2 linked regions of the Elephas maximus indicus genome follow. The protein of the gene in region 1 binds, or shares a complex with, the protein of each later gene. Links are inferred from orthologs where the notes say so. Each region holds a gene or a part of one and is shown in the gene's direction. Other genes may lie near its edges. The genes, in order: APLNR and APLN.

Region 1 (11,584 bases):
GGGTCACATAGGAAAACTGGCCATTCAGGTCTTAGCTAGAAGGCCAGCAACCTCAAGAGGCCTTCCTGGTCTACCCTATCTAAGATACTCCTTCCATTTATTTTGTCTCATCACCCAGTTTAACTTTCTTGGTGGTGATTATCACTGGGTTCTTCACATTTTTTCCTGATGTCTGTGTTCTCCTCTCTTCCCCATGTCTAGACTGTACACTTGGGAGACTGTGGCACGGTCAGAATTGTTCACACTGTGTGCCTAGTGCCTGCAACAGGGTCTGGTACATAGCAGCTGCTCAATAAGTATTTGCTGAGTGAAGGGATTAGCAGCCAAGATGGGATCAGAACTGAAGATTCCTGTCTCCGGGGCCAGTGGGTTTTCCTGCCTTCACTGTTAGAGCCCAGGGCTCTATTGCCTGGGAGTCTGCAGGTGTGCCAAATGGCCGGGCAATCAGGGGTTGCTGGGTATGGTGTGTTGTCTGTCTGTTTTAATCGTCAGAGTGCAGCTGGCCATTTGTTTTTGGTTAGATAAGCTGCTAAAGTAGGACGTGTGTGAGAGAGCCTGTGTGTGTGTCTATAAAGCTGGGATGCGAGGGGGGTTATGTGTCTGGAGAGAGGGAGAGGGAATTCCCGAGTGTGGGATTGGGCTGCCAAACTTCGTTTTGCCTGTGTCCCTGCCCTCCCTCCCCTTTCCCTCAGACAACACCACCAGCTGTTAGGGACACAGCTGTGGCCTCATGGGAAGGAGGGGAGAGGGCCCTGTTACCCTGGTGAGGTCTGAAGCTGCTGAGTTCAAAGCAGACCTGTGAAGTGAGGGGGATGGAGCAGAGAGCTAGAGGGAGGAGGTGAGAAGTTAGCGAGGGGCAGCAAATGGCAACCTTTCCACTTTGATGTCCACAGCCCAGAGCTTCTGGCAAGGTCTGGGTGAGGGCCCAGGCAGAGGAGTTCAGCTGTTCTCCCTTCATCCCAAACCCTCAGCAAGATCCAATTAACCACCCCTTCCTGGCCTCCAAGAAAGATGTTTATCCTGATCCCTGACCACCCTACACATGGGTCAGCACATGAATGCATGGACCCAGCGCTCACGCTCCCATATACATACAGGTGCAGGCACAAGTAGACGTCATGCCCAGCAACCACATGGTGTGTCTCCACACACACATACACACAGGAATGCATGCACACCTGTACTCACAGGGTGCACACAGCTGCACACAGCCACCAGCACAGGGCCCAGCCAGTCCCAGTGTTCCAGGCCAGGGACAAAATGTGCAGGGAGGGGGTGGTGAGTGGGGGGAGGACTAGAGTCGCTGACTCCAGGGGCCTCCAGCAGTCTGGGCTCTCTTCAAAGAACCCTGTGGCAAGTCTGGGCACTGTCCTGCCAGGAGCTGTTCATCTCAGTCTCATGACAGCACCCTGGAGAAATCACCCAGGAGAGAGAGAAGTCCTTGAGGAATCTCACTCTGCCCTCTCTAGGGCAGACCAGCTGGGGACTGGGCCCAGCAGTCCTGCCTTAGCTACTGGTTTGCCAAATGGCTCAGCATGGAGGATTCGGGTGAACTTTAGCAAAACGGTACCCTTGTTAATGCAGCAGAGTAGCCCTGGGGTGAGACCCATCCTCCTGAGTGAATTTCTATTGCTTTAATTCAACAGACATTAACCAGGTGCCAAGCTGAGGGGGTTGCAGAAATGAGAAGCAGGGAGTCTCTGTTCCCCAGGACTTGCTGTCTAGTAGAGGGCTAACTTCGGTGCCCTGGGGGCGCACAGGGTCAGCCTCCAGCTACTGGCCCTACGAGTCTTTCATATTCTGTGTTGGATGGTCCGCCATGAGAAAGGGACAGATCAAGACAGGACTTCGAGAATCAGGCTGGGTGAAGAGAGGCTGGGTGATTTTGCATATGTGGCTGCCATTCCTGGGGGCATGTCTACAATCTGGCTCCAGCCAGCTGTGACAAGGGGCTGGATCTTATCAACACTCTACCCACCCTCCCCACCCTTGGCCCCAATCAGTGGCCCCCTCCTAGGCCTGGCCCCCAATTCCCTCCCCTTTCAGTGAGTCTCTTTCCCAGATTCCTTGGGTGAGATTAACTCCTTCTTTACCCCCTCTGGGGCAAAGAACTCAGAGGCCAGAGGATTAAAGAGTTGAATCCCTATCCTTTCCCACAGGGTCTCCAGGCTCCCATCTGGCTCAGATTCCAAGTGGGAGCAGCTGGGGGAGGGGGGTTAGGGAAATGGGGCCTGATTGCCGGGACACTAAGCTTGTTTTCTCTCCTCCCCGTTCCTAGCAGCAAAGGGAGGGGTACCTGCATTTTCCTGGGAGACCCAGGGAAGGTCTGAGAACATGGAGAGACTCAAATTTGGCCTTAATCCATCATCCGTATTCATAACAGGGCCACCTATTGTGACCTGACCTGGGCCCAAGAGTCCTGCACCATGCTTAGGTCCCTTTTGGTAAATAAAGGCAGTCGCTAAAGAAGCCTGACATGGCAGAAGGTTAACCATTTCTACCCAATTTGGCACTCAAGTGATAATGAAGGCCATTCTGCCACCTGCGCAGATGTCTATTAGCCAGACATACAGGAGCAGACAGCCCCCCAACAGTTCCTTTGTGTGTCCTGGGAGAGCAGCGAGGCTCCAGCTCTTGGTCCTATTGGGTGTCCCCAGCACCATTTTGCAGACCTTGCAGCTGGCACCGGGCAACCAGAAACCCCAGGATGCTGACCCTAAAGGCGCAGATCATAGCCTAGCAGGATTTTTATACTTTGTTCGTTCCAGGCTGGGGACCGTCCTTAAAATATTTTAGTCAATCTACTCTTTCTTCTTTTTTCATTGTGGTAAATATATAGGAAGAAAACATTTGACTTTTCAATAATCTTCACACATACAGTTCACTAACATTATGTTCATCATGCTGTCCAACCATCACCATTCCTGAATTTTTCCATCATCCTTAACAGAAGCTCAGTGTCACTTAAGCATTGTGTCTTCCTTTCCCCTTCCCTCCTGCCCGCGCGTGGGAACCACTAATAGACTTTGGTCTCTATACACGCGCCTATTCTAGATATCTCATATAAACGGGATCATACAATATTTGTCTGTTTGTGACTGACTTATTTCACTCAGCATGTCTTCAAGATAGTCAATCTATTTTTAACTTCATCCCCTCCCCCCCCAAAAAAACACCAAACCTGTTGCCGTTGAGTCAATTTTGACTCATAGCGACCCTACAGGACAGAGTAGAACTGCCCCAAGACAGCTTATTTTAAAGAAAATTACAGTTATCCTAGTATAGTCCTACATTTCTATATTGCTTAACAGATCCCAAACTCCCAAATGTTAAAAAGGGTTGGAATTTTTTCTTTGGGGGGGATAGTAGTACGGTCTATGAGCTCAAGACAGCCTTGGCTCAAATTCTGGCTCTGTCAGTTACGAGCTGGGTGACCTTGGCCAAGTTACTTCCGCTTCTTGTGCTTCAGTTTCCTTATCTGTAAAGGGAAGCTAATGAAAGTATCTACCCTGTAGTACTGTTGTGGAAACTCTGGTGGGGTAGTGGTTAAGAGCTACGAGATAGTATAAAAAACCTACTGCTGTCGAGTTGATTCCAACTCATAGTGACCCTATAGGACAGAGTAGAACTGCCCCATAGAGTTTCCAAGTCTGTAAATCTTTAAAGAAGCAGACTGCCACATCTTTCTCTCATGGAGAGGCTGGTGGGTTCAAACTGCTGACCTTTTGGTTAGCAGCCGAGTGCTTTAACGTGGGCTCCTTAAAAGAGATAATAAATGTGTATAAAATGCATAGAACGTTCGGAAGAATGCCTAGCGCTCAGTACTGTAATCCTCAAGAGAAACACCAACATGGTAATCATTCCACATTCCTGTAGAGTAAAGGTCATCCAGGGCCCTCAGGCTCTGTCTTATTTTCCTCTCCAGCCTCCACTCCTGTATCTCCCTGTGCACCCTAAGGCTTCTGTCCTGTTTGCGTTCATTTCTCTGTCTCCTAACTCACTTTACATCCCTTCCTCCTGGTCTAGCCTCCCTGTTGTTCTCCCACCTTCTGTTCTTGGCAAGCTCCTACTCAAACAGCATCAACTGGGAACCCAAGGATGTGTTCAACTTGTTTGTTTTTAAATGGAAGTAATTCTCTAAATTTACAAATCAGGACATTTCTCATAAAAAAAAATCCAGAATTTGAAATTCCCCTGAAAAGTGAAAAAAGATAGGTGTAGTAATGCTAGGTTCCACATTTCCACATGGCAACCAGAGACTGGAGCTGAGAAGCTCTTCTCTTGTGGACTGTGCATGCTCTGGTTTGCCAGAATGTCCACCACTCCCTCTCCTCTCAAACTGACTGCTTTACCCATAGACACATTCGGCCTGGCTCCTGTAGGTATTTGAGTTTGGGACTCCTGCTTTAAAACCCCTGCAGAGGATTTCTGACCAACCCTCCCTCCAGACAGCGGATTCTAGCATGGAAGCCTTTTGCCTTGGATGTAGACTCATCTCCTGATTTTGGTCTCCCTCACTCCTGTTTAACTTTAGGTAGCCTCCCCTACTTTGGGGTTGGTGGAAAGAATGTTTACCTTACCTTATTCTTCCAGCTCTCTTCCCTGGCCACAGGTCCTGAAGAGGTGACCAGACAGGGCAAAATGAATTTCTATAGGACGGTGCCCATGGCAGCTGCTCAGTGGCTGCCCCATTCCTTGCTTCCTCCTCTAGCTGCAACTTCCTGCCCCTACAGGGACTTATATAGACCTCCTGGTCCAAGGAGGGCAGAAAAACCAGGCAAGGCATGTAAGAGCCTGAGGACGGAAATGTATCCCAGCTTTTATCACATGGTGATTCATACACTCATTCCCCTAATTCGTCCATCTGCTCACTCACTCAACAACCATCTACAGATCACCTATTATATGCCAGGCACTGTGTTAGGTACAAGAAGCCTTGGTGGCATGGTGGTTAAGAGTTTGGCTGCTAACCAAAAGGTTGACAGTTCGAATCTACCAGGCCCTCCTTGGAAACCTTATGGGGCAGCTCTACTCTGTCTTATAGGGTTGCAATCGACTTTGAAAGCTTTTTAAATGGCTTTAACCGTGGGTAAGACATTTACCTTGTGAGTCTCAGTTTCCCCATAGATTTAATGACTCAGTGAAAGATCCTTTTGTTTGGGGTTTCTTTAGGCCTGTGAGTCTGTCCCGGACCCTCTAAAATTTTCTATGCAATCAGCAAACTGCGATCTGCCAGCAGTTTATGAATTCTAGAGCAATCCCTGTTTCATCATGTCTGCAAACCACAAAGCTTATGGAAAGAGCGTCAGGGCTGAGGGGTACAGCAGACGGCATGATGGAGAGAATGGGAAGAGGGTCCCAGAGAGAAGCTTGGTCTGGGTGGGGGATGGGGGTGCAGGGGGTGGGGAGTGGAGGGGACAGACTCCTACCAGGTGGGCTTGCCAAAAGCTGGGACCATCCAGCGAAATCTCACACCCTCCTCCCCCCACCTCCCCGGCTCCAGCTCAGGCTGGATTTCCATCTGCATAATTTGCTGCATATAGAGTGGATGGGAGGGAGTGAGAACAGGGAAGTGGAGAGAACTGAGGCGGGGGGTGCCCCAAAAGGTAGGCAGAGACAGTGTACAGAGGAAATCCCGGGGGCTGGGACACAGGCTGGGGGGAAGGTGGGTGGCAGTTAGAGGGAGGAGGGAGGGCCAGGAGGAGAGCAGCAGGCTGCAAGCCCCAGATAACATTCTGCCTAGTACAGCAGGGGTCAATTTGGTCCACTTTGCCCAGTGACAAGAAGGAAAAAAACAAGTGGGCTGTAACTTAGAGATCTTAAGACTCACAAGTGAGGGGTTGGTCTGGAGGTGGGAGGAGGGAGTGGCAAGTCAAGAAGAGACAGACTCAGGAGGGTGCAAGGAAGTCTCTTGGCTGGGCTGGAGGCACGGGAGGGTGGAGGGAAGCCTGCAGATGGGAGCATCATCAGGGGTCCCGGCAATTGAGAAGGAGCTCCTCCTGCCTCAGGGAAGGGCTCTGTCCACTCAGAGGCACCTTCAGCCCTTTCCCTCTCTCTGAGGCTCCAGCTAGAAGCTCAGCGTGCTTGCTGAGTAGGTGACACAGCCCCGGAACTGGTACCCCCAGAGTCCCCTGCCTGTCTTCTCTCCACTCCCCAGCATGGAGGAAGGGGGTGATTTCGACAACTACTATGGGGCGGACAACCAGTCCGAGTGCGAGTACACGGACTGGAAGTCCTCTGGGGCCCTCATCCCTGCCATCTACATCCTGGTCTTCCTTCTGGGCACCACGGGCAACGGCCTGGTCCTCTGGACCGTGTTTCGGAGCAGCCGGGAGAAGAGGCGCTCGGCTGACATCTTCATCGCCAGCCTGGCAGTGGCTGACCTGACCTTCGTGGTGACCCTGCCACTGTGGGCCACCTACACCTACCAGGACTACCACTGGCCCTTTGGCACTTTCGCCTGCAAGCTGAGCAGCTACCTCATCTTTGTCAACATGTATGCCAGTGTTTTCTGCCTCACCGGCCTCAGCTTTGACCGCTACCTGGCCATCGTGAGGCCCGTAGCCAATGCACGGCTGAGGTTGCGGGTCAGCGGGGCTGTGGCCACGGCTGTTCTGTGGGTGCTGGCCGCCCTCTTGGCCATGCCGGTCATGGTCTTCCGCTCCACCGACAACCTGGAGAACAACACGAAGGTGCAGTGCTACATGGACTACTCCTTGGTGGCCACCTCGAGCTCAGAGTGGGCCTGGGAGGTGGGCCTGGGAGTCTCGTCCACTGCCGTGGGCTTCGTGGTGCCCTTCATCATCATGCTGACCTGCTACTTCTTCATCGCCCAAACCATCGCCAGCCACTTCCGCAAGGAGCGCATCGAGGGCTTGCGGAAGCGGCGCCGGCTGCTCAGTATCATCGTGGTGCTGGTGGTCACCTTCGCTCTGTGCTGGATGCCTTACCACCTGGTGAAGACGCTCTACATGCTGGGCAGCCTGGTGCACTGGCCCTGCGACTTCGACCTCTTCCTCATGAACGTCTTCCCCTACTGCACCTGCATCAGCTACGTCAACAGCTGCCTCAACCCCTTCCTCTACGCCTTCTTCGATCCTCGCTTCCGCAAGACCTGCACCTCCATGCTCTGCTGGGGCCACGGCAGGTGTAGGGGCACCTCCCACAGCAGCAGCGGGGAGAAGTCGGCTAGCTACTCCTCGGGGCACAGCCAGGGGCCCAGCCCCAACCTGGGGAAGGGCGGGGAGCAGGCGCAAGAGAAGTCCATCCCCTACAGCCAGGAGACTCTTGTGGTTGACTAGGGCTGGGATCCCGGAGCAGCCCGAGCTGTCTGCCCTGCCTCAGCCTTTGCCCTTGCTCTCTGAAAATCAGGTAGAGTGACCGAGCCTTCCTTCTTGCCCTTCACTCCTTTGCTTTCTCCCTGCACCCCACCTCCATCTGGCCCTTCTCTTACTAAGTTACACTCTTCCCAGAGGTTTGGGTTATAGTGGAGGGAGACTGAACCTGCAGACTCATGCTTAGTTCCTCTAAGACTGACCTCGCATGCCCTCTTAACCTCTCTGAGCCTCAGTTTCTCCATTTGTAAAAAGTGGAGGTAGTAATACTGATCTTAAAATATTGATGTGGGAGTCCTTGGCTCCATAAAAGTTAGCTTCCCTCCATTCCTTTTCTTGGTCTCCACTATTTTCTCTTTTTGGTTTTCCCTTACCTCTTCCTTTCTTTCTCTGCAATCTTCACTCTCGGTCCCTACCTTCTGGCTCTGACCGCCTCTCCATGAGCTTGTCCCCATCCCTCAGTCTCTCCTACTCTCCTTATTACTTCTTCCTTTTGAAGGCTTCTAAGGGTTAAGAACCCAGAAGCTTATAAGCTCTTTATTCTGTTCCCAGAGAGAGTTGGAGAATGGACTGCAGCAGGTGTGGGCAGCGTGCCAGCTGGGAGCTCCAGAACTTTCCCTAAAATTGGATCAATTTGGTGTCATTTCAGACTGAGGGCTAGAGGAATATCCAGCTCCTTCCCAGAAAGGCTAAGATGCCAGTTAGATATGCCTTCTGCAAATTTCCTGGGACTCTTTCATTTATCCTCTGTAGGGATTGGAAGGCAATGGGGCTGATGAAGCTATGGGCTCCTTGGTTTCATTGTAAGAACGAGGAGTTGGGTAGGGAGAAGGAAAAGGAGAGAAAGTGAGCTAAATGATTGTCTGGGTTTAGTCTATATGCTGCTTGGTTCTCCTCCCCAAATCCTGGTCCCTCTGAACCTCCTTCAGACTGCTAGCTGTGGGTCTATCCCCTGACTCCCCACCTCAATCCAACACCCTGGGCTGGTTTACATGGGCAGTGGTGCCTCTTGGTACCAAGAGTCAATTTGGTTGGGGTGGGGATGCTTGCTCTTTGTGTGTATATATAAGCATGGCTATTCATAACCTGAAGAGCAATGTACCTGTGTCGCTTGGATAAACCTCCTCCCACTCCTCACTCTCCACCTCATCTCTCCTCTTTGCACAATATCCTTGAGGGAGAAGGGACAAATAGGATAAAACGGAGTCCACTCCCCACTGGATTTGGGGGCTCTAACGGCTGGTCCGTGCATTAAGACAGAAGTCTGTGTTTGCACCCGAGTCCCTACTGGGAGGTTTCTCGCAGCACAGTCTGGTGGCCAAGTCTTGGGGAATTCCTATGAGCTGGGTTCCTGTTCATTCCGTAATTCTATGAGGGAAATAAGAGACTGGTTAAAAACTTCCCTGGCCCCTTTCCCTTGCCTCCCCACCTTGCTTTGAACTTATGAGCATTTCCTTACTCACTCTCCCTTTCCCAGGATTGGTGGCCCTATTCCTAAGGAGGCCATGGGATAATAGGCACTGGGTGAGTTTGGGCTTACCGTTGGGGTGGGGCCCCTCGGCTTCTCCTGCTGAGTTGGGGGCTGGGAACAGGGGCTGGGCAGCAGTGGTGGGGCTGATGGATGACATCCGTGCTGCCAGAGAAACCTTGAGGAAGAAACTGATGTTGGACCCTTTGTGAGATGGGGGCGGGGTGTATATTCCGGGTTTTGTTCTTGGAAGACTCTGGACACAAAGGACAAGACAAGAGCCACGGAGGCAGGAAGAGCCCAGCTTGATGTGACCGTCCGTCCCTGGGAGAGCCAGGAAGAGAGGGGAAGGGGTTCCTCTCGGCATAGTCTACCCCATCACAGACTAGAATCTTCCACAGACTCTCTTACTCTGCCCAGGGCTGTCCTCAAAATATCAGTTAGGGCAGGAGGAAGTTTCTAGAAGGGAAGAAAGTACCCCTCTGGGGCCCTCCTGGGTGACTTACAGAGACTTCCTGCCTGGAACTCGGGGGAGGGGGGTGCTGGGGAGAGAAGGTAGGGAACGCTGCCTGCTGGGACACTCCCTCGTCTCCCCACCTCCTGCCCCTTCTTCACCGTGTCTGTGCTATTTTCTGACCCTGTTAGTCATTGTGGTTCATTAAATAAAACTGTTTTATCAAACTATTGTGTCCAGAGCCTCCTCTCACAAAAGTCTATTGGGAAAGGAAAGCACCCCCAGTTCGCAAATGCCACAGCGGGGTGGTGGTGGGGTGAGAATGGTTGGGGGGAGAAGTGGGAGCCAGAAGGAGGGAGTGAAGTGGGAAACTGGAAGAGAAGTGAGAGGGGGCGAGAAGGTGGAGGAAATGGACACTGGGAAAGGGAACGGATAGGGAGCCAATTGAGGAGGGCAAAGGAATAAAGGACTAAGGAGTGGCTGTTTTATGTTCTGAAAAACCACAGAATAAACCCCTGTGCTTGGAGTCCAGAGCACAGGCCTGGGGAAAAATTCCAACATTTTTCCCTTTGGGTAGACCTATCAGTTTTATCATTCATTCATTACTTCATTCATTTGTTTCTTTGTTCATTTATCATCCCCTATTGATTTATTGATTCATTCAAGGCCTCTGGGTGGCACAAACAGTTTGCTTTTGGTACTAACCTAAGAATTGGTGGTTTGAATCCACCCAGTGGTGTCACGGAAGAAAGGCCTGGTAATCTGCTTCTGTAAAGATTATAATCAAGAAAACCTTGTGGGGCAATTGTACTCTAACACATGGGGTTGCCATGCGTTGGATCTGACTTGAGAGCAATGGGTTTGGTTTGGGTATTGATTCATTCATTCATTAATTTAGTATCGAGTGAGCACCCACCCAATTTAGACCAGAAGTTCGAATCCCTGCTCTTCCATAACAGTCATCCTGGATGTTTTGAAAAATTAAAAAAAAAAATACCCACTCCCGATGTCATTCCAGAAGTTTGGAATGAGAACCCCCTGTTCTGGACCCAGATAATCTCCATGACACAAAGCCCCATCCAAGGATTTGTGGGAGAGGCTAAATTTGGGAACATCACTATCCAGATGGATTCTGCCCAAATGAAAATGGACACAAGAAACTAGAGGGTCAAAGCCAGAGAGAACTGGACCCTGAATGGTGACCTCTTTGGAGCAGGAAGGGGCTGCAGTGACCCCTGGGGGGAATATGTTCAGTCCAGAGGTGTTTCCATCTTCAAGAAAGACTAACACATGCAGCTGGCACGAAGCAATCACCTTAGCAGAACGAATATTAATGAGAGAGCTAACGTTTATTGAGCTTTACCACTGTGCTAAGCATTTTCCAAGCATTACCTCATTTAGTCCTTGTAGGTGATCTCTGAGGGGCATTTCTACCTCATTTTGATGATAAGGAAACTGAGGCATAGAGAGGTTAGTTAGGGCCCTTGACCAAGGTCACACAACTAGTATGCGTAAGAGCCAGACCTGGAACCAGCTGGGTCTGTCCAACCCCAAAGCCCGCACTCTTTACCCCTGTATGGTGATGCTTCTCCCCAGGAACAAATGAGGCCACACAGTGGTTGGGAAGAAAAGAGAGACCTCATCCAGGCCTGGCGGACTGCCTGGAACAGGGAGGGTGTTCAGTGACCGGGGATTAGGGTAGGATGGGGTCGGAGAGGAATGGTGGAAACTGCAAGTATGTGTGTGTGAGACAGACAGAGAGTGAGGAGAGAGAGGGACAGGAGAGACAGAGCAACGAGAGACACAGAGAGGCAGAAACAGTGAAAGAGAGAGACAGAAAGAGTGTGAGGAGACAGGAACAGAGAGAGAGAGAGAGAAAGAAGAAAGAGGTGGGAAGAAGAAATCAGAGGAAGGGAAGGAAGAAGAGTGAGGACAGGGTCTCAGCATTTGTTTTCCCTCTTCTGAAACACACCAGGGAAAACCCCGAAGGAATTTACAACTATAACAACAAGATATTCCAGTTGTTTTTTTTTTTTAACAGATGTTGTAAAAACCCTCAGCAACTCTCCTGGGAAATTTCAGGTAAGTTATCCAAAAATTAAGAGTAAAAAAAAAAAAAAAAAATTTTTTTTTTTTTTGAAAGCACTTAATAATCCATTTGTTCCTGCATTTCTTCTCCCTCCCACTCCCATGTTTGTTCACTCAACATGCCCTTATTTATTACTCACTGTGTGTCAAGCAGAAGCCCTGGTGGGTTAGAGGTTAAGAGTTATGGCTGCTAACAAAAAGGTCAGCAGTTTGAATCTACCAGGAGCTCCTTTGAAACTC
Region 2 (12,114 bases), on another chromosome or scaffold:
TGTAGCCAGAGCTAGGATCCAAGTGGTGATCAGGCGTAGGCACCAGTTTCAGGGGTATAAATTTGAATTTGAAATGGAGCAAAGCTGACGCAGATCATCTCTCTGACCTTGACCTCATTATCTCAGAACTTTCAACTCATAACTTAACCGGTCATAGACTCAACACCTAGTCCCCAACAGTCTTTGCCCTGGCTCAGCACACCAAGGTGCCAGATTGGGGCTTGTATGATATCGCACCTGATGTAAGCCGGATAACACTGGCCAGCAAAGCAAGAGGAAGCAAGTTCAATGGCCCCCTGGAACTTGGAGATAAACCTGTTCCTTCGGGAGTGCTAGCCAAGCTCCCAGGGCTCTGCTGCCTGAGGAAGGAATTAGCCTGCCTCCCCTGGGGGAGCAGTGTGTATTTATAGACCCTAGAAGAGAGGAAGGATGGAGGCTCCTGGGAGACGTCATAGAGGATGTGCAGAGGAAATGAAACTGCTCTGAAATACAAACGGGAGGAACAGGGACCTGTGTGGCTTTGAGAGAGGCCCAAGGATCAGAAGGAATTAGGCAGGATGCAGGGAAAAAGTGGCAACTCTGTGGGGGCTGGGCTGGGGGTGCAGGCGGAAAAGAAATTCTTCTCCTTCTTGGAGGAACCCTCTTAGGGCCTAGCCAACTAGTGAGCAGTGGCCTCGGAGACATAGCTGATTACCTGAATTCCACTGGCATCGTGTTTTTAATGAACATGGTTTTTGCGTCAAGTGAGATGTATCTGTGGGAACCGCTGATGTCTCTTAAATATACAGTGAAACCTGGGTAAGCCAGAACCCGTGTAAGGCGGAAGCCTGTCAGAGAAGGAAATCTCAAATATTTTCCAGTAATAGAGAGTGAGAGAAAAGTGGTAAGACTGCACCCTGTCAAAGGCAGAAAACTTGCGAGACCCAGAAAAACAAGGCAGTCTCGCCAAGTTCCAGCTGTCACTGGTTTCATTGTATAAGCAAACCTGAGAAACGGAAGTAGTTTGCAAAGAAGTTGGAAGAAAAACATTTAAGTGGAGGAACCATTTCTGGGACATTCGGGGCCTGTTTGAGAGTGGCCACAAAGCTGCTCCGTGGAAAGGATTAGGAGGCAGTAGGAGGACCTAGATGTAGCATTAGACAGCACGGATGTGAATAGAGGTGGTGTTGTTGTGCTGCAAAAGGGCTACTTCTCTAATTTTTGCGAAAGTGGTGCCTTTTAATGGTTAGTATTTGACTCTGTGTGCTCGGGGTCGCTATGAGTCGGAATCAACTCGACGGCACTGGGTTTGGTTTGTTGTTTTGGTTGCTTGGGAAAAAGGACAAGTGTGAAAGACAAGACAGTAAGAACCCAGGAAGATCTCTGTCTGTGGCCAAGGTTTGGACCCAGCTGGTGATCAGAATTAAGGGACATTAGACAGCAAGCCAGCGGCCCTGGTGATGCAGTGGTTAAGTGCTCGGCTGCGCATCGAAAGGTTGGTGGTTTAAACCCACCAGCCTCTCTGTGGATGGAGAAAGATGTGGTGATCTGCCTCCGTAAAGATTACAGCTTTGGAAACTCTATGGGGCAGTTCTACTCTGTCCTATAGGGTTGCTAAGAGTTGGAATTGACTTGATAACAATGGGTTTCATTTGGTTTTTTGGTTAGGCACCACCAGGCAGAGGGGAAAATCATACAGTTTGCTGAAGAAGAAACTCTAGCAAAGTCCACCAACCACCAAGTTATTTCCTCCAAGTGGTGATTAGGGTCTTTTGATTCATATACTGCAGTTCCAGGTTATGGTCCACGTAATTAACATCATGTTCTCTGATTAAAATGGTCTCACATCAAAAATGGAATGTTAATCCATGAATAGGCCATAAGCCTTTACCCTATGGAGAAAATGGAGAAAAAATTGAAGTTGTCAAAGATTTCATTTCACTTGGATCAACAATCAACACCCATTGAAGCAGCAGTCAAGAAATCAAATGACGTATTGCACTGGGCGAATCTGCTGCAAGACCTCTTTAGAGTGTTAAAAAGCAAAAATGTCACTTTGATCACTAAGTTGTGCCTGACCCAAGCCATGGTTTTTTCAACTGCCACATATGGATGCAAAAGCTGGACAACAAAAAAAGAAGACAGAAGAAGAATTGATGCATTTGAATTGTGGTGTGGTGAAGAATAAACCATGGACTGCCAGAAGAACGAACAAATCAGACTTAGGAGAAATAAAACCAGAATGCTCCTTAGAAGCAAGGATGGCGAAACTTTGTCTTGCTTACCTTGGACTTGCCATCAGGAAAGACCAATTCCAAAAAAGGACATCATGTTTGGTAGAGAGTCAGTGAAAATGAGGGAAACTCTTAATGAGGCGGATTGGCACAATAGCCACAATAATGGACTCAAACATGTCAAAGAGCATGAAGATGGCACAGGACCTGGCAACATTTCGTTCTGTTATACGTAAGGTAGCCACGAGACAGAGCTGCCTCGACGGCAACTAAGAACAAACAACAACTCTGCCCAGCACTGTGCTGGCTGTTACACAAGTTAAAAGCTCAACTCTAGTCAATGGAATCAGAAAGACAAACACTTAGTAACGAGACAGTGAAAACTCATGTTCTCTGCTGGCGCGTAGCTGAGCAAAGGTAATTTGTCATGGAGCTAGTCAGGGGGACGTCAGCTAGCAGCTGGCTTCTTAGGCTTTTTTCTTTCCCCCAGGTTCCTAATAAGTAATTCCAGAGACAGGGAAAGCTTTGAGGCTCTTCTTAAATACTTTTTACAAGCCTTGAGCATTACGCTCTTTTAAGAACTATCTATGTGGATTCAAATTGACAACAACGGCAACTCCTGAAAGATTAGATAGAAAACTTAGAGGGCAGTGAGTTTATGTTAATGGCTGAGGAACATCTCAGAAAAGGATGAGAATGGTTGCACAACTCTAAGAATGTAATCAATGTCACTGAATTGTACATGTAGAAACTGTTGGAGTACGTTTTGCTGTGTATATTCTCAATGACGACGAAATATAAATAAAATTATTTTTTAAAAAACCAACTTTTTACCAGTGTCGCTGCTACTGAACTTCATTGCCCATTAATTTAGCTTCTGTCTTAGGGAACAAATTGGATGAGCGACATTGGAAAAGCAGCCCTTCCTCCTTATGAGGTGCTCAGAAGGGCTGGGTTCGTGGAATGAGGGTCCTGGGCCTGACCACAGCCGTTTGGGCGCCTTTGCAGCCAGCTGGGAGACTGCTCAGCCAGTAAGCGGTAGCTCCATGGCAGGAAGGCAGTGTGGCACGGAGTGAGAAACAGGAGAATGGAGTGAATTAGACCTGGATTCCGGTCTTGACTTTGCCACCAGCTTTATATGTAACCTTGGGCAAGTCACTTTTCTCCGTCTCAGTTTCTCCATCTGCACAATGAGGGGGTTGGAGCTCTTTCTGTTATGAAATGTTTCTGATTGCACCCCACTTTTTGCATTACTCTGGAAACTCTGGCAGTGTCGCGGTTAAGAGCTATGGCTGCTAATCAAAAGGTTGGTAGTTCGAATCCACTAGGTGCTCCTTGGAAACCAAATGGGGCAGTTCTACTCTGTCCTATAGGGTTGCTATGAGTTGGAATCGACTCCAAAGCAATGGATTTTCGGTTTTGCGTTACTCCAGTCAAAATAACCACTACAGAAGGAGCTTCTTGGATCAAGCAGACACTTGTGACTATGTTGGCATCTCCTATCCTATCTGTAGGGGAGATGAGACAGCAGAGGGGGCCGGAAGCTGGCGGAATGGACATGAAAAGAGAGAGTGGAGGGAAGGAGCAGACTGTCTCATTAGGGGGAGAGCAATTAGGAGTATATAGCAAGGTGTACATAAATTTTTGTATGAGAGACTGACTTGATCTGTAAACTTTCACTTAAAGCACAATAAAAATTAAAAAAAAAAACCAGTACACAATTGGAGGGGTGGGGGGGGGAGACTTCTTTGTATATTTCTGCTAATTGTTGGTGTTGACCCACCTAAAAATCTGTTGGATGAGTTGTGATGATTTTTTCCAAAATCGGATAGTTTTATATGTATCGTAAGCCTAGAGTGATTGTTAATATGACTACACAATTCTTTGTTTCAGTCAATGAACATTTATTATTGAATATCTGCTCTGGGCAAAAGCACTGCTACTGAGAATACAAAAATGAATAAGACATAGTCTTACCATCTGATAAAGTCGGTAAGACATATACACAAATATCTACAAGAATATATCACATTTATACAGTGCTTATTTTTTTATCTTACCATGAGAACCAAGCACCCTGCCAAGTATTTTATAAGTATTAATTCATTTAATTCTTCCAATAACCCAGGGAGCTAGACTCTATCCTATTATTTAGATGAGGAACCTAAGGCTTAAATAGAAAGGATAATTTGCCCAAAGTTACTCATTTAGTAAATGTTGTTGTTGCTGGGTGCCATTGAGTCAATTCTGACTCACAGTGACCCCGTGTGACGGAGTGGAACTGCCCCATAGGGTTCCCTAGGCTCTCATCTTTACAGAAGCAGGTCACCAGGTTTTTTTCTCTTGCGGAGCTGCTGGTAGGTTTGAACCGCCAACCTTTTCGTTTGCAGCTGAGCGCTTTAACCACTGTGCCACCAGGGCTCCTTAGTGATACAGCTGCCTTATTCCAGAACCCATGAGTTGAACCACTTTGGTTCACTGCTTCCTAACGTAATTTAAGACCGAATGAATTAGGTGTTACAAAAGTAAATAAAGATACATGTGGGCCCAGAAAAAACCCTGTTGCTGTCAAGTGGATTCCGATTCATAGCAACCGTATAGGACACAGTAGAACCGCCAAGTAGGGTTTCCAAGGAGTGGTTGGTGGATTCTAAATGCTGACCTTTTGGTTAGCAGCCACAGCTCTTAACCACTGGGCCACCAGGGCTCCATGAGGGCCCAGAGTAGTGAAAAATTGTTATTGAAGCTCATTGAGGAAAGAGTGTGGACTACCAGGTTAGGCAGATCTAGGAAAATTGCTTACCCTCCATTAGCCTCAGTTGCTTCTCTGTAAAGTGGGACAGTAAGGAACAGGACCTACCTCACAGGCGTGAGGATTACATACGCTAATGCATGTACAATAGTGCTTGACACATAGCACATGCTCAATAAATTTGAGGTCTCATCATTATCAGCATCATCATCATCTGTGGGGACAGGCAGAGAGGAATGGGCTGCGACAGGCTTGTGCTCTGAGGCTTCAGTTGGCTCAAAGTGCCGCATTAGCCATAGCGGGGTAGGAAAAAGGCCACGTTGACCATTAACAATAACTCTATCTTATTCTCTTTCCACTACCTCGGTATAGGCAATAGGGATGTTCTTGAAAAGTTTATTCACATATTCAAGTTATTTACTGAGCACTGATACAAGTACTGGGGATACAGCTATGAACAAAACAAAGATCCCTCTCTAATGGAGCTGGCAATTCTGGTGGAGGGAGACGCATAATGAACAAATTGTGCACATACCAGACCCTTTTAAACATTTCAAAAAGTATTTTAAATATGCCATGGTCTCTCAAGTCTCTTACGGTGCACATAAACACGGTCCAAAGTATCTTTTGGGTTGATCTGGACTTGCACGTCAAGCAAACTGCCTGGTCGACTGAACAGAGGAAACACCTTGCGATGTAGTCTTTTAACATGTGTTGAGTGCCACCTATGTGCGGAGTCTGACATTGGGGACTTTGAAGAGAGCCAGAAGATTGAGAACATAAGGTCTTATCTTAGGGGGTTCCCAGTCCAGTACAGGAGTCCTTACTTTGGGACTTTCTCAGGCTGGAGAAGCTAACCGTCTAGTCCCGGGTAGGCACCCAAAGGCAAACGACTTCAGGACCTGCTTACAAAGGGGTATCCCAAATGTGTGCGAAACTAATGCAGCCTAGACTGTTTGGAGGTTGGTGGCCCCACGACGATGGGGAAGAAGAAGGGAGTGCCATAGGAGCTGTTGTTATGTCTAAACAGCGAGAAGAACCAGAGAGGCAGGCCCACCTGGATGACTGTTATCCTGGGAAGGCTTCTGGGGGAGACGGTATCGAGGTGCTCCAAGAATGAAGAGCTCAGGTGAAGGGCAGGGTGGGGTGGGGGCGGCTCTAAGGGGCTGTGGATAGTGGGAGAAATGGGGGGCGCTGATTAACTAATCAAGCCTTGAGCACAAGCATAAGCAGTCATCCCAACTCAAACCCCGTTGAAGATACAGGGGAGAAGAGGCCAGAGTGTGGGAGCCCTGGCCCAGCCCTTGCCGCTGGGGAGCAGCGCAGAGAAGGACCCCGGGTCGGGGTCGGAGGTGGAGGGAATGGGTGGGGGCATCCAGGGCTGAGTCCTTCCCTGAGCGCCCAGGTTTCCCGCCAGCTGTTGAAGAAGCGAGGTGAGAAAGGGTTAAGTGTGCCCCTCCACCGCGCCCCCTGCCCCCCCCCGCCCCAAATGCTTCCTGTGTTTGAAACCCTTCAAGTCTCGGCCAACCCTTTGGCCCTCGGCCAGGCGGGCATTGTCCGGGGAGCAGCGGCGCAGCCTTTGTGGCTGGGCCACCTCGGGGTTCCCGTTGGCGCCCGGGCCGGGCGGCCGCGTGCTTGCTGGGCAGGGGGCGGTGCGGGAGGCGCGCGCTCTCCCGCTTCCTGCCCCCCCACGCCAGCCCTCCCGATGACCACATGACCAAATGGGCGCGCGGCCAAGCCACACGCTACAAAATGCAGCCCCCGGAGTGAGCGGGAGCACTTGCGCTGGCAGCCTGGGCCGCGGGCAGTTGGCGCGGCGGGGAGCGGAGCAGCCCGGCCCTTGGAAAGAGCCCGCCGCGCCTCCGAGCCAGCTTCGCGGCGGGCGAGCGCGGCTGCGGGGGCGGGAGCGCGGCGGCGGCGAGCGGCGGGCAACGCGGCCCGGCGCGCGCTCACCCGGCTGGAGCCGCGAGCTCAGCGCCCAACTGCCCGCCCGCGCCGGCCTCTGCGCCCTGCCCTCTCCGGCCCGGGCCGCCGAGGCAGCATGGACCTGCGGCTGTGGGTGCAGACGCTCCTGTTGCTCTGGCTCGCACTGACCTCGGTGTGTGGAGGTGAGTGCGCGCCCGCGCCCCTCGCGGCCCCACGGCGCTGCGCACCCGCGCCCGCCCCCACCCCGCCTCCGGGCAGCCCGGCGCGAGCCGGCCGCGGCAGCCACGCGCCGCTGACTGACAGGGCGCCTGGGCCAGGCCGGCGCCGCGGGGAACAGCTTCCTCCCGGGCTCGGCTGGCTAAGGGCATCACCTGCCTTGCCGGGCCCCACCTGGCCGCCCGCCCCTCGCAGTCCAGGAACTCCGGGCCGCAGCTTGCGCCCCGCGCCCCTCAGGGATCAGTGGAGGGAAAGAACCGAAGCCGGGTAGGCTGGGCTCACAAGTTGGCGGTTTTCTGGCCCGTGGAGGTCAGGGTCTGCCGACTGGTCCAGGGACGCGGGCCACTCAAGATGCTGTGCCAACATGCAGACGTGACACTTGTTGCATAGGCCGGAGCTGGGCCGGCCAGGCTTCTCCTCCCTTAACCAAGGTCTGGCACAGGAGGCCTTCCCAAAGCTTCCACCGGCCCCAGGGACCAGCTCTTCAATATCCTGGCTCCGGCCTCCCCTTTACCCCGGGCACCGGCATGTTTTCCCTTAGTCCCCCTGTCTTCAGACACCAACCCAGGAAACAGAGTCAGCCTGGGCACCTCCATGCACCTCCTGCACCACGTCTCCCACCTGGCAATACTTGGCTCTGTGTTCCCTTGCAGGCCCCAAGCCTGCTCCCTAGCAGCCCCAGACCGGGTGGCTGGTTCCTCTCTGCGTCAATGTCTCCTGGGCTGCCAGCTCCCACCTCCAGCTGCCACAGTCCTGTGATCTGGCTGTCACTGCTGCTTGCTTGCCTGGCACCACAGAAGGGGAATCCAAGCTGAGGTGGGCTGGTGCTAGGTGCCAGTGCTGGAGTCACAGGGAGGTGGGAGCAGAGGGAAGAAGAGGGCAGGGCAGCAGTTTTCCTAGAGGAAGGGTGCAGGGCCCTGCTGAGTTCCAAACCCTCTAGAATAGGAGAATGGCCTGGCTTGGCCTCCTTCTCTTTGTAGTCAGCGGCCTTTCTTTGCTCTTGCCTTTTGGCACTGCCCTGGCAGTGGGAGCACTGTGACTTCTCTCAAAGGTGCATTGCTTGAGGCTGGCACCCTTTTGTCTTGGGTAACTGTCCAGTGGCCTTCCTCTTCAAGACCTAAGCACTGGGTCAGTCACCTTGGTAAGGAGGGAGCAGATTTTTCCTCAGAAACTCCTGTCAGGCAGGTCAGCCACCTCCTTGGTGAGAAGGGGGCAGACTTTTCCTCAGAAACTCCTGTCAAGCAGGCACTGGTGGGAAAAAACCAAAAGCTGTGAAGGAAGGACACGACACGAGCCTGCCCTCCAGGAGCCTACCGCCCAGTGTAGTTGGCAAGACAAGACACCCACGTGATACCACTAGCAGAGTCCAAGGTGGTGCCTTCTGGGAAGAAAGAGTGGGTGCAGAGAGGGCACCCCAGAAGAAGCTGGGGCATCTCCATCTGCACACTTGATGCTCTCACCAGAGGCTACAAGAGAGACCCTTAGCCAACAGACCACCACCTGAACCCTGTCAGGGTCCAACCATTGAGGCAATACTGGGAACGGGGAGAATATATTTCAAGGGGAGGGAAATTGGCCCGGCTGCCTGAGCCCTGTGTATGTCTGTCCCCAACCCCACCACTTCTTGTTGTAATTCCCCGTTACTCATTTCGTCACCTGTCTTTACACCTTGATTTGTGTAAATTCATTGCCTACATATTTTGCTTAAGTTTAGCACTGGAAATTTCCAAGGTTCCCACTGCCTTCTCTACCTCACCACTCCTGGAGTGGGGGACAGGCACCTCCCTGGTAAGTGGCCCCCAACCAAGGGTGCAGGTACACATGACCTGCTTTTCCTGCCTCCTGTCCTAGGTTAGAGCCAGGGATCCCAGAAACACTTTGTCCTTGACCCAGCCTGGCATGCTGTCCCCAGAAGAGTTCCAGGCCTGAATACCATGCTTCCTCCACTCCACACTCTGTCCTGACTTGGAATGCCCCTCCAACACTCTTCCACTGCCTCCTGACCTGAGATACACTTTGCTTTTCTGAGTCTGAGAGCTGCTGGGCCGGGGCCAAGTGTCCCTTTGTCTTTGAGCACCTTCCTCCCCTCGCCTCCTCCTCCCCTTCCCCAGCCCCAGCTTGAAGCCTGCAGTCACCTTGGTAGTGAGAGGACAGCTTACTGTACCCCCCCTCCCGCTCAGGGAGGGGGCATCTCCACTCATATCCCCAACTGCTAAGTACCCATGTAACCTGAGCCTGGCCTCTCACCAGCAAAGGACTCCACAGGCAAGTGGAGTGGAGAGGCTGCCAGAGCGATGCATCTGAGGGCAGCAAAGCTGGCGCGGGAGGATAGTTCAGGGCACCAGGCTGGAGGGCGAGGCGCACAAAGGGAGGGCACTGCATCCCAGAGACACACACAGTGCCACAGAGCAGTGGAGGGGCCCAGCCTGCATGGTCCCCACCAGAGCACACGTGGGGGCTTTTAAAGCCATCACAAGGCAAGCCAGACAGGGAAAGGAAAAACAGGTGCCTCGTTCCTGGTGAGGAAGATGGGTTCCTGAAAAGGTGCACGTAGCTCTTTGTGCGCTGGCCAGTTTGGAGTTCAAGTTTCGGGAAAATCATCCTAGTGCAGTGAAGTGTATCCCAGGTCAGGAGGCAGTGGAGGAGTGTTTCAAGTCAGGACAGAGGGTGGAGTGGAGGAAGCATCAGTGATGGTTCATCAAAGAGCAAGGAAGGGCTCAAGTCCCTCCAGGGTTGCAGTTCATTGGGAATTGCCCCAGCCTCCCTTTAAGTTAACAAATGTCTGTTGCCTTTAAATCTATTCCGACTTATAAGCTGGAAGAAAATATTGAAGTGGGCTGGGGATGGTGCCATTTCTAAAGGGGAATTCTTTTGTACAGCCAGGATCAACAGCCTCTAATTTGTCTGTTTGGACAGGAGAAAGCCAGGGTTTCAGGTGTCAGCTTATCTTCAGGTGAGCCAGACTCAGAACCAAAGGTAGCGAACAGATGGGTGGCGGAATCAGGGTGCTGGGGGTGCCTGCAGACTTCTGAACACGAGGAGGATGGTGAGGCCCCACCCATTGAGACAAAAGATGCCAGGGCCTTCAAAAGATTGGAGGAGCCAGTACAAATGATATTAGTACCAATCCGTCCTTGCCACAGGGCCTGAAACAGCATTTTTCCTCAACTGGGCCCAAGCCCATGCTCAGTGGCCCTTGCAAGAAGCCACAGTCCCACTGGCCTCCAACAGCAGTGTGGCCCCCTGAAAGTTCAGCCCCCAAAGTGCTGCGAGGGTGGGTAGCTAGGAGGGAACCAGGCCAGCCAGGGACCCCCAAAGGTTCAAGAAGTTGGGGAAGCAGGGCTTGAGGCTAGAAGAAGACAGGCCTAAGGGAGACAAATCACAGGTCCCTCTTGGGTGCTGAGCATATGGAGATGACACCCCCCCATGCCCCCTGTACCCATGGCGTCATAGCCGGTGCTATTGCCACACCCCCAGTAGTCGAGGGTGTGGAAGGGAGAACCAAGGCTTCTCTTACATTTTCAAGGCCTCTGTGGCCCTTCTGGAAACCCTGGTGGCATAGTGGTTAAGTGCTGTGGCTGCTAACCAAAAGGTCAGCAGTTCGAATCCACCAGGTGCTCCTTGGAAACTCTATGGGGCAGTTCTACTCTGTCTCATAGGGTTGCTATGAGTTGGAATTGACTCGATGGCAATGGGTTTGGTTTTTGGTTATGGTCCTTCTTGGTTGCGCAGTGGTTAAAAGCTTGGCTGCTAACCAAAAGGTCAGCAGTTTGAATCTACCAGACACTCCTCGGAAACCTGTGGGGCAGTTCTGCCCTGTCCTATAGGGCCACTATGAGTCGGAATCCACTCGACGGCAATGGGTTTGGAGGGTCCTTCCAAGGAACCCTGGTGATACAATGGTTAGGCGCATGGCTGCTAACTGTAAAGGTTGGCAGTTCAAAGCCATCCAGCGGCTCCATGAGAGAAGGACCTGGTGATCTGCTCCCTTAAAGGTTACAGCCTAGAAAACCCTATGGGGCAGTTCTACTCTGTCACATGGGGTCACCATGAGTTGGAATTGACTCAACGGCACCCAACAATAAGGGTCCTTCCGCTAAGCCTGGCCACACCCTCAGCACAGTCCTTACCACCCTGCATATTTCTCTGATACTGACTCCTCATCAGCCTCATTCCAGTCTACCCTCAGTAGATGGTACAGGCCTTCAGGGGGCCCTAAAACACAGGCCAGAAGCAGAAGCAGCTGGAGTGGGGGCTTAGTGAAGGCCTCGCCCCAGCCCCAGCCTCTTCTCAGAAGGCACAGAGAATAGTTCTATGACAGTCAGACAGAGCACCCCCTTGTCTCTGTCCATCACGACGGCTCTGAAGTGCTGATGTAATTTTTTGTTTGTTTTCCCTTGGATGATGTGTTTAGGGGAGGAGTTGACACATTAACTGACACTGGCCATAGCACAGAAATGTAGTGAGTGAACCAAATGACTTCAGTAAACTGATGGTTTTCCTGGGAAGAGAGAGAGGTGGGAAACGTCGTGTGCCTGGGTCAGCCTGGGTGGAGGGTTAGAGATGAGTGTGTGGGGTGGGTGTGTGTGTCGGGGTGTGAGCGGGGAGAAGGTCAGGCCCTGGGAGCCTGGGCGAAGAGGGCCCTAAGGACAGACCTCGCCTACTTTTGGCCCAAGAAAAGAGTAAACGCCTGGAAATTGTGTGCAAATGGAGGAGGAATCACAAGTGCCAAGGAGCCAAGGAAGGAACCAGAGCATTGCGGGGGTGGGGGGGAGCGGTTGGAGGAGGCAGGGTAGGAGGGTAAGGAGGAGCCCTCAGGGGTATAATGGGGAGCTAGCCGCCATTGGGAGGTGGTATGGAAACTATGACCTAAGGGTAGGAATTCCTGGACGAATGGAAATGGGACTTGAGGGACATGGATATAGCTGAGGGAAATCTGATGGTGGGGGTGAGGGGGAGGACGCTGGGAGTCATTATCACTAGCCTCAGAAGCGCTATTCCTGCAGG

Evidence for each region.
Region 2: the proteins of APLNR (region 1) and APLN are in contact, whole or in part, in a cryo-EM structure (PDB 8XZG), measured with the Homo sapiens proteins. The link is inferred for Elephas maximus indicus from reciprocal best matches to the Homo sapiens genes APLNR and APLN. Residues at the interface, in NP_005152.1 of Homo sapiens: Tyr35, Phe78, Trp85, Tyr88, Thr89, Tyr93, Ser106, Ile109, Phe110, Met113, Pro163, Val164, Arg168, Gln180, Cys181, Tyr182, Met183, Tyr185, Glu194, Glu198, Leu201, Gly202, Ser205, Tyr264, Lys268, Tyr271, Ser275, Cys281, Asp284, Leu285; in NP_059109.3 of Homo sapiens: Arg66, Pro67, Arg68, Leu69, Ser70, His71, Lys72, Gly73, Pro74, Met75, Pro76, Phe77.

The regions. Positions count from the first base shown.
Region 1 is NC_064825.1:118,642,303-118,653,886, reverse strand, and holds APLNR (apelin receptor), read left to right. Parts: upstream 1-5,871; 5' UTR 5,872-6,158; coding exon 6,159-7,301; 3' UTR 7,302-9,560; downstream 9,561-11,584. UniProt on the Homo sapiens protein: G protein-coupled receptor for peptide hormones apelin (APLN) and apelin receptor early endogenous ligand (APELA/ELA), that plays a role in the regulation of normal cardiovascular function and fluid homeostasis.
Region 2 is NC_064846.1:26,786,504-26,798,617, forward strand, and holds the start of APLN (apelin), read left to right. Parts: upstream 1-6,926; 5' UTR 6,927-7,006; coding exon 7,007-7,073; intron 7,074-12,114. UniProt on the Homo sapiens protein: Peptide hormone that functions as endogenous ligand for the G-protein-coupled apelin receptor (APLNR/APJ), that plays a role in cadiovascular homeostasis. Functions as a balanced agonist activating both G(i) protein pathway and beta-arrestin pathway of APLNR.